Rattus norvegicus: one gene and its partner. The protein of the gene in region 2 purifies or fractionates together with the protein of the main gene of each other region. This does not show direct contact. Links are inferred from orthologs where the notes say so. Each region holds a gene or a part of one and is shown on either strand. Other genes may lie near its edges.

Region 1 (4,341 bases), on a different chromosome or scaffold from region 2:
CAGGGACATTGTACCTGCAGACCCCAGGTTGTCCTACATGCACCGTGGCCTTGGGGCTGAAGGAGACCCTGCACCCCATGCAGATGCCTAGGGTAACCCCCGTCTGTGGCCCCAACTGACACCTTAGCTTCCCGCCGTGTCTCTGCTGGCCAGCACAGACCCCAGCTGTCTACAGATTCATAACCCTGCCCCTGGCAGGGTGATGGGAATCTTCAGGGCCCTGACGGTCCTTAGCAGCCCTGCACACCCAGTGTGTGCATGGGAGTCGCTATGCTCTTCAGGGACGAGGCTGGACTCCCAGTCCACAATCCCAAGGTGCTCAGCCACAGCGAGCACAGTAGGGCCCTCCCTGCCTGCTGTTAGGCAGCGCTGTAGGGGACACACGTGACCTAAGACCAGGAGCAAGCACAAAGACCAGGCTCCATACCCATGTGCCTGCTCCTCAGGCCTCTCCTCTGTAATCTGGTGACAGAGCTGCACCCACAGAGCACCTAGCCCTCCGAGCAGTGACCCGAGGGGATGCAGAGCAGACAGGGAAGGCCCTGGGACTGAAACTAAGACTGCAGTGTGGAGCCAGCCACACTTGACACTGGCACCCACACCTGTCAACTGTGAGGCTCCCCTGGGCAGGAAATGGATTTTTGTATTGGGTGAAATGACGGCTGACCAGCCCAGGCTGAGACCCCAGCAGCCACGCTTGCCAGTCCAACCAAGAGCCAGGAACTGTGTCACCAGCTCTGTCCCACCTACTGGGCATCTAGACTCAAAGGGAGGTAGCCACTGTAAGGGTGGACATAGCCTGGGCTTTCTCTTCCCACCGTGGCCACTTTGGCCAGTGCACAAGTCCTCGCCTGTCACTGAGCTAGAGCCTGGCATCCCACTCAGGCCCTTGGGCACTCCGCCCCCATCTGCCCCTTGGTGCCAAATACACAGGCACTGAACCTGGTCACATCAGCCTGGTGGGGACTGCATGCCATCACCTCCTGCAGACCCTCAATGCCACCATCTAGGGTTCTCAGGGTACCTCCTACCCTGTAAGCAGGGAGTGTCTCATTGTCACCCCAGTCTGGCATCTGGAGCTGTCAGTCCATCTGACCAATAGGAAACCTGCACTGGGTATAGACTACCAGGCTCAGCCACGATCTCCAGATCTTAACCCACCCAAGGGTTCCACTTAGCACCTTCTGGGGCTCAGATCCACTTAGAGCTGGTGTCATTCACCTCCTTGCCCTTTGACGCTGGCCCACATCCTAAGGTCTAAGGCACCATGCTGTGCCACAGTCTATCCCATGTGTGTCCCACGGTCGCCCACTTGTCAGCTGCTTAGCCCAGGTGCTTGGGGCCACATTCTGTGTCTGCCCAGTTTCAGTCTTTGAGACTGTGAAGCCAGCAGAGAGGACACCAAGTCCAAAAGCTCTTCCCTGGGCCTGTCAGAGCTGACACCCAGGCTGGGGTGGGGACAGGGTACAGGGCGGTACAGGCCTAGCAGCCTTGGCTGCCAGGCACGTCCCCTCTATGAAGGTTGGGCGGAAGCTGGGTAGGCAGGAAACACAGCAAAAGGGCTCCCTGAAACCTCGGCAGCCCCAGAAACCAGCTGCTGTATGGCTTGTCTGTCCCGATTAAGAAAAAAGTGTGGGGTCGGGGCTGAGGATTTAGCTCAGTGGTAGAGCGCTTACCTAGGAAGCGCAAGGCCCTGGGTTCGGTCCCCAGCTCCGAAAAAAAGAACCAAAAAAAAAAAAAAAGAAAAAGTGGGGGGTCAACTGTCATCCAACAGACCCTGTCTCTGACAAGGTATCGGGTACCCCAAGCTGAGGGCCACCACTGGGGACTCAGGGTGTGGAAGGCAGGGAGAAAGAAGGGGCAGTGGCAGACTGCAGACTGTGGACTGGAGCCTGAGGGGCTCAACCCCACATCTGTTTCAATCTCATGCTGGAAGTACTTCCATGAATCCCCCAAACTGACAGCTTTGAAACAGTGCTAGGAGCCAGTCCCACATTCACCAAAGCCACCGGAGAAGGCAATGCCCTCCAACATCAGCACACCCACCACCATGCCATGCCCCCAACACCAGATGGCCCAGGCAGCTCCTCTCAGAGAGAAGCCTAGGGACAGAGCCTGGTGGCTATCCCTCTGGAGTAGCCTTTGTTATATTGAGAACTCAGTATCTCTCAGGAGCACACCAGGAAGACACAGCAGAGCAAGTACTGGCTACAGAGGTCCCTGGCCAATGTGGCTGTGACTTTGTGGCTAACCCTAGCGAGGTGACCCCACCAAAGCCACAAAAGATCTGGCAAGAAGTGACAGAGAAGAGCAGGGACACTGGGAGGGCTGGGGACTATCCCCAGGTGAGCTTCAGGGTGTGTTAGGATGGAAATGACAGGCGGGACAGGGCCTCCAGCACAGGGGGTTGTCCACAGTGGAACTTCAGGATGGGATGGAACTGACCACACTGTTCTCAGTGGAGGTGCAGGACAGAATGGGAGTGACAGGTGGGAGGGGGGGACCTCGAGTCCAAGATACTACCTCAAGAAGACACTGGGCTCTGGTCTTGGGTGGAAAAATTTGGGGCCTAGGTTCCCAAGTGGCAGAGTCAGAGGCCAAAGGGCAAGAGGCGGGGCCTGAGAGCTGAGGAAGTGGGGATCAGAGGATGCATCTGTGAGAAGATTGGCATCAGGGTATTCAGGCCAAGTCAGGGGCCAAGTGGTAAAGCTGAGGGGGTGGGCAGGTGGATGACAGCTGGGGTCAGAGGTCAGGGGTCAGAGGTCACCTTGAGCAGAACGAAGAACTCAAAGAGGCGGCGGAAAGCAGGTGGGAAGAGGCGTGAGTAGGTGACGGCCATCTTGAAGAAGAGCGCGTGGAAGAGCCGGTCGCGCACGTTGATGAGCGGGTTGGGGTTGAGATTGGGGCCGCGCGGGCCGCGCACGGGCGCCGCGCCGCCACCCCCGCCGCCGTTGGGCCCGGGCCCTGGGGCTGCCGCGTGCTCCGACATCACCGCCCCGCGTCACCCCGGCGGCCGCCGGCTGCCCCCCCGCCGTGTCCCGGCCGCCGGATCCCCCCCGCCGCCCCCGGCCGCCGCCGCCTGCGCCTGTGCTCGCGTCCGTCCGGCCCGCGACGCCGGCGAGAGCGCCGGGCCAGAGCGCCACCCGTGCGCGGGGCACGCTGGGATCGCCACGGCCGCCCGAGGAGGCCGGGCTTCAGAGCCGGAAGGCTGGCACCACAAGTGGGCGGAGCCTGGTTACTGCTCTCAAACTTCAAACCCGTCGCCCCAGTGCTAAAAGGCCGGAGTAACACGGAGTTCAGTTTATTTTCCTAGTCCTCCTTAAAGCTTTGGTCGGTCTCATTTGCTTTGGGCTTGCAATTTGCGGAGGCTACACGGAGCGGAATAGAGAGGAGCCCGGTTCATTTGCAAAAATTCACTCCCACACACTGTGGCATGGTCTATGGCAGAGTCGTGTGTCACGACTCATTTGCACTGAGCTAAAATAAAAAAAAATCTTTTATATATGTGAGTACACTGTAGCTGCGTTCAGACCAGAAGAGGGCATCAGATCCCATTACAGATGGTTGTGAGCCACCATAATGGATGCTGGAAAATGAACTCAAGACCTCTGGAAGGGCAGTCAGTGCTCTTAGCCATCTCTTCAGACCAAAGCTGTATCTTAAGCATTGAGCTTAGGGGCTGGAGAGATGGCTCAGCCGTTAAAGGTTAGGCTCACAACCAAATATATAAGCATTGAGCTTAGGCACTGAGGCAGTGTCGCGTACAATCCGTTTCGTTTGTGTAGGGAACCAGGTTCGCGGCGGTCGAGCTATGGGGCGTGGTCTCAGAAACAAGCTTAAGCATTTGCAACTAGTGGGCGGGGCGACGTTGCTAGTCTTATCTACACCGGGTTTTCTATTAGCGGAGGATCAGAGGGGGCGGAGACGCATGTAGCAAGGCCTATTTACTATTTACATAGGGCTTCACTACGGCCACAGCCTCACTTAGGGGCGGAGTCCGGTGGGGAGTCATTAGCATAGCCCGTTGAGGAATCATTACCAGCCTTGCCCTGGGAGGCAGAGCTTTCTAGCACTGTTCATTAGGGGCGAAGCTCCATGGGGATAGTTTACCAGCATTCAGTTTGCCCATCGCACCAAGAGCACGGATTCCCCGCCGATCGGGCTGGGCTACCACTGAGGGGCGGAGCCGCGTAGTATCTGTCTAATTTGCATATGGCTTCCCAGAAGGCCTTGCTGGTGCAGCTTCTCCCAGATGGCTACATTAATTAATTTGTAAGCTTTTACGCGCATAGATAATTATGTTCAGCGTCGTTACGAAGGGTGGCCCTTCCTTTTGACGTA
Region 2 (4,607 bases):
CTCTCCCAAAAATAAACTAGGATTCGGGTGCAGCTGAGTGGTAAAGGACTTCCTAGTCTAAGTGAGCTCCTGGATTTGATCTATGACTGAAAAAGGTGAAAGGGCTCCACCTGTCAGTGCCTTGCTAGCTTTGAAGGTGGAAGGAAAAGTTATCGAGTTAATCTGTCTGGTAGCAAGTCCTCAGCTCTGAGAAAGCCCAAACAGAGTTGAAGCTAATCCAGCAATGGTGCCCCACTGTGGATAATGACGATGGTAGGCAGGAGTTTGGACCAAACCAAGGAGTCTGGGAAACGTCTTAGATGTTGGAAAACCATGGAAACCAATCTTTCCCAAGATTCTCCATATACATTCCATAGAGGAATATATACAGTCATTTTAGTACAAGGGGACCTTTGTCGAGCTTCCAGCAGGCAGAGCTGCGGGACATTATCTGTGTTAGCCAAGCAACTGCATTTGTGTAATTTGTTAAATCGGCAATAGAAAACTAACATATGACCTGAGCTACCAGAATTTAAAGCTAACATAAATCACATGTGGACGTTTACTCATGACCAACACTCTCTGGGCTACACCAAACCAGTGTTAACACAAGGTCACGCTAAGGGCAACAGCCCACATTTACTTCCTTGTTTCTTCAGCTGATCATACAATACCTGTTTTTTTTCCCCTTACAAAATTTTTCCTTTATGACCCCAAGAATCCTCAGTATGGTAAGAGACTCATAAACTACCAACATATCTACTCCTATCTGGGTCCCACAGTTTCATTACCTGGCTTCAGTTTCCTCAGTATCCTGGGAAATTGCTTAAGGTGCCAGGCACCACTGCAGTGATTCCGGATCTGACCACAGCTCCATCAGAGCGTCTCTGCTGATCTCTTATTGCCGGGGAAGCCGTTCATGGAAAGCTTCTGACATGTCAAGGCGTTATCTTCTCTTTGAGGTCTCCGTGCTTCCAGATAAAGTGAGAAGAATCGCTTGACTCACTTCATGTTAAATGTCTTTGAAACGGTTTCATAGCAGTGTGTCTCGGGATTAAACACTTTTTAGGTTTTAAAAATGTCCTTTTGATGAAACAACTCTACCACTTGAATTATAATTCCCATCTAAGGTTCAATTGTACATCAAGAGGGCTTAGACAAAGGAGTGTATGATACCTCCCCTTCCCCACACACCTTTCCCCAGGAGAAAGGAGGCTCCAGAACATGTTTCTAAAGCAAGCTTTGTACTAAATATTTGATGACGTACTTCTAGGACTTTATTTTGCATTTATTACTCTTAGGTTTCTCCGTGTTGTGTTGGTGGTTCTTTTGTCTTTGTAGTATACTGTGCCTGGAGTTTTGACAATTTCGAATTCCCAGGAAAACGGCTGATACAGGGTCTACCAGACGGTGGCGCTGTTGGCCTGCACCATGGCTCCGAGCTGCCCTGAAGAGACTTTTGCACAGTTCATTCACCTGGCAATCGCAATCGAAAATGAGCGCGTCGCTTGGCAACAAGTCCAAGTTTTACAGTTTCGGACGAGGTTTCCTGCTGGCTGCTATGTGGTGAGTTCCGGAAACCTCAGCGCCCGCAGATTTCCCTTTGTGGGGCGCCCGCCCCAACTTCATCCTCTGAGGGCAGCCACGCCCCACTAGGCGAAGCTGAGACTGGAAAGCCTAAAGCCTTTCCCTGAGGCTGGCACACCTTGCTGTGCCTCACCTGCCTCTTCCAGTCCCCTGAATGGCCAGCTCCACCTGAAACCAGAGTGACCTGAGGAGGAACAAGGTACCAGCCTGCTTCTTAGGTCAGAGGGAGGGTGAGCCACAGGGGTGAATCTAGGTGGTTTGAAGTTTGGGGAGAAGAATGGAAAGACTAGGGGTGGAATGGCCAGGCTGGCTGGCTGTATGAGAACCGAGGTGCATGATCTTTATTTCTTTGGAGCAAGTGTCTTGTGGCTTTTGATTTCTGTCTTTTTTATTACATGAAAACGTCATTTTTGGCAAGGAGAACAGAAGATGAGATTCTTGGAGAAGGAACATCCAGAACCTAGAGAGTATATAAAGAATGAGGGCCCATTACTTAACTGGGGGTCTGTAGCCCCTCAAATGGGTACCTTGGGTTTAGTACACTCAGCCTGGTAATTAGGCATTCTGGTTCCAGTTACCGTACAAGGCTGCGGATTCTCTATTCTAAATGAGATAATATTTGTATTATCTTATATTTCAAAATTACATGTTGTCCTTTTTTGAGCCAAATCTATCGTCTTTTTATTCTTCTCTTTTTTCTTTCAGTTCCTCAGTCCTTCTCTTTTCTCTTCTTTTCTCTTCTCTTCCCCTCCCCCACCTCTCTCTCTCTCTCTCTCTCTCATTCTGTCTCTCTCTCTCCTCTCTTTCCTGTATTACTTCCTTCTGTAAAGAGTCTTCTCCCATGTGAGTTTCTTCTGTGTATGAGGCTATGCCTTCCCCCCATTGCTTACTAAAAGCCATCAGTGGATGTAGAAAAAAAAAGCCAGGGGCTGCTGGTTTACTGTGGTGGACCTGGGTGGTCACTGGACTTTGCTAACTGCCTGATTTATCACCTTGTCACATTCAGCTTTTCCACTCACAGCCCCTAGAGACTGATCCTTTTTCTGAGTCATCCCAAAGTATTTGTGCTATTTCAAATTATAATCTACTCCCCACCCCCTTGCTTCATTATTGGCACTTAAGAGTAGGATCAATCAGGGTTTGCACAACCAAACCTTTAGTTTCAAGTTGTAGAAACGGCAAGTGCTAAGTACATATGTCTTCAGGACTGTTGCTCCTGCGCTCCATGGGAAGGGTTTATTCTGGGCCTTTTACTGGGTTTGATAGATGGCTGTCTTTATATTGTAATGCCTCCCCCCATGGGCTGGAGAGATGGCTCAGCCATTCAAGGCTAGGCTCACAACCAAAAATATAATGCCTCTGCCCCCTACATTTGTCTGCCTTTGCCTTTCATTTTTTTTTTTTGTAAGTAGAGCAGTTATATTAGGCTTAGAACAATCCTATTTACCTTTTAAAAGATTCTGTCTCTAAATGTCAAATGTGGGCATAGAAGGTGCAATATCAAATACGCATGGAGGCAGGGGGGGAGTCACAATTTAACCCCTGACAATAGTCAGGACCTCTTGTCTCCTGCTGAGTCCTCTTCCCACCTTCTGCACCACTCCCTGTGCTCTCAACATGTTCTGAAGTTGCACGGTCTGTGATTTTACACTTCTCTTCTGTTACACCACGAGCTCTCACCTGTGCTGCAGCTGCTGTAACCAATGAACACACACACACATACACATACACACACACACTATATATATATATATATGTATATATGTACATATATATATATATATATATAACCAAAACTGGTGGCATAAAACACAGTCAAATAAGAGCAGGATGATCTGTTTCTCTTTTCCTGGAGACTCTAAAGGAAAATCAGTTCCCTGTTTTGCTTGTTTCTAGAGTCTCTGGCATATTTCTGAGTCGATGCCCTTTTGTCCACCTTCATACCCCACACTGCCTGGGTTTATTTATTTTTTTCAGTCCTTCACACTGATGCTTTGTCCCCTTCTTGACCATTTAAGGGTATTTGTGACACACCAGACTCACTCTTTCTCTTTATTTGATTAATCCCATCTGCACCATCTGCAATGTTAATTTTAATACTAATAAAATCAACCTATTAATAGGTTCCAGAGATTTGGACATTGTGGGAAGAGGGAGTAATGTTTCATCTTTTTTTTCTTCTCATTGTTGGAGAGTGAACTCAGGGTCCTGTTACCACTATATCCTCAGATCTCTCTCTCTCTCTCTCTCTCTCTCTCTCTCTCTCTCTCTCTCTCTTCCCCCATACACATCTTTTCTTTTACTAACTTTTACATTATGTTTGTGTCTGTGTTAGTTGTATATATGTAGACACATACACCATTCCACATAAGTGCAGCCAAGAGGCATTGATCCTGCAGAAATGGAGTTGGGGGCATCTGTGGACCACTGGAGTCAGGTGTTGGGAACTGAACTGGTGTCCTCTCCAAAAGCAGTGAGCCCTCTTAACCACTGAGCCATCTCTTCAGCCCAATCTTAGCCATTTTTTGTTTTCTACTTTTCAACAGGGTTGTGGTTGTCCAACCTGGCTCTGAACTGACTCTGTGCTTCAGTCAGGTCTTGAACCTTCTATTTTCATGCCTCGACTTTGAGAGTCACTGTTAGTATCCACTTTTTACTCAGAGGTCAATGTTTTGCTTGCTATGTATAGCAAGGTAGTTTAAATACTTTTTATAGAGAAACACACCAGCTTGCTCAAAGATAGAATGAAAAAAAAATGTGTGTTCACCAGCAGCAATTGGGTACCATGATAGTTTCTGTACAAAACTGTTTAAAGAAACTCCTTGGGATGGTGAAATGGATTAGTAAGATACTTGTTACATAGCCCAACAACCTAAGATGAACCCCCAAATCCATTAAAAGTGGAAGGAGAGAAGCAAGTCCTCTGAGATATACACAATGAACTGTGGTATATGCATGTATTTATGCACAGACATCATCCATCTATCTATCTATCTATCTATCTATCTATCTATCTATCTATCATCTATCTATCCATTTGT

The links.
Region 1: the proteins of Styk1 (region 2) and Tmem259 purify together in Homo sapiens (affinity purification with mass spectrometry; 3 studies listed by BioGRID and IntAct, with this or other methods). This does not show direct contact. The link is inferred for Rattus norvegicus from reciprocal best matches to the Homo sapiens genes STYK1 and TMEM259.

The regions. Positions count from the first base shown.
Region 1 is NC_086025.1:10,373,580-10,377,920, reverse strand, and holds the start of Tmem259 (membralin), read right to left. Parts: upstream 3,018-4,341; 5' UTR 2,990-3,017; coding exon 2,768-2,989; intron 1-2,767. UniProt on the Homo sapiens protein: May have a role in the ERAD pathway required for clearance of misfolded proteins in the endoplasmic reticulum (ER). Promotes survival of motor neurons, probably by protecting against ER stress.
Region 2 is NC_086022.1:166,824,799-166,829,405, reverse strand, and holds the start of Styk1 (tyrosine-protein kinase STYK1), read left to right. Parts: upstream 1-1,667; 5' UTR 1,668-1,765; intron 1,766-4,607. UniProt on the Homo sapiens protein: Probable tyrosine protein-kinase, which has strong transforming capabilities on a variety of cell lines. When overexpressed, it can also induce tumor cell invasion as well as metastasis in distant organs.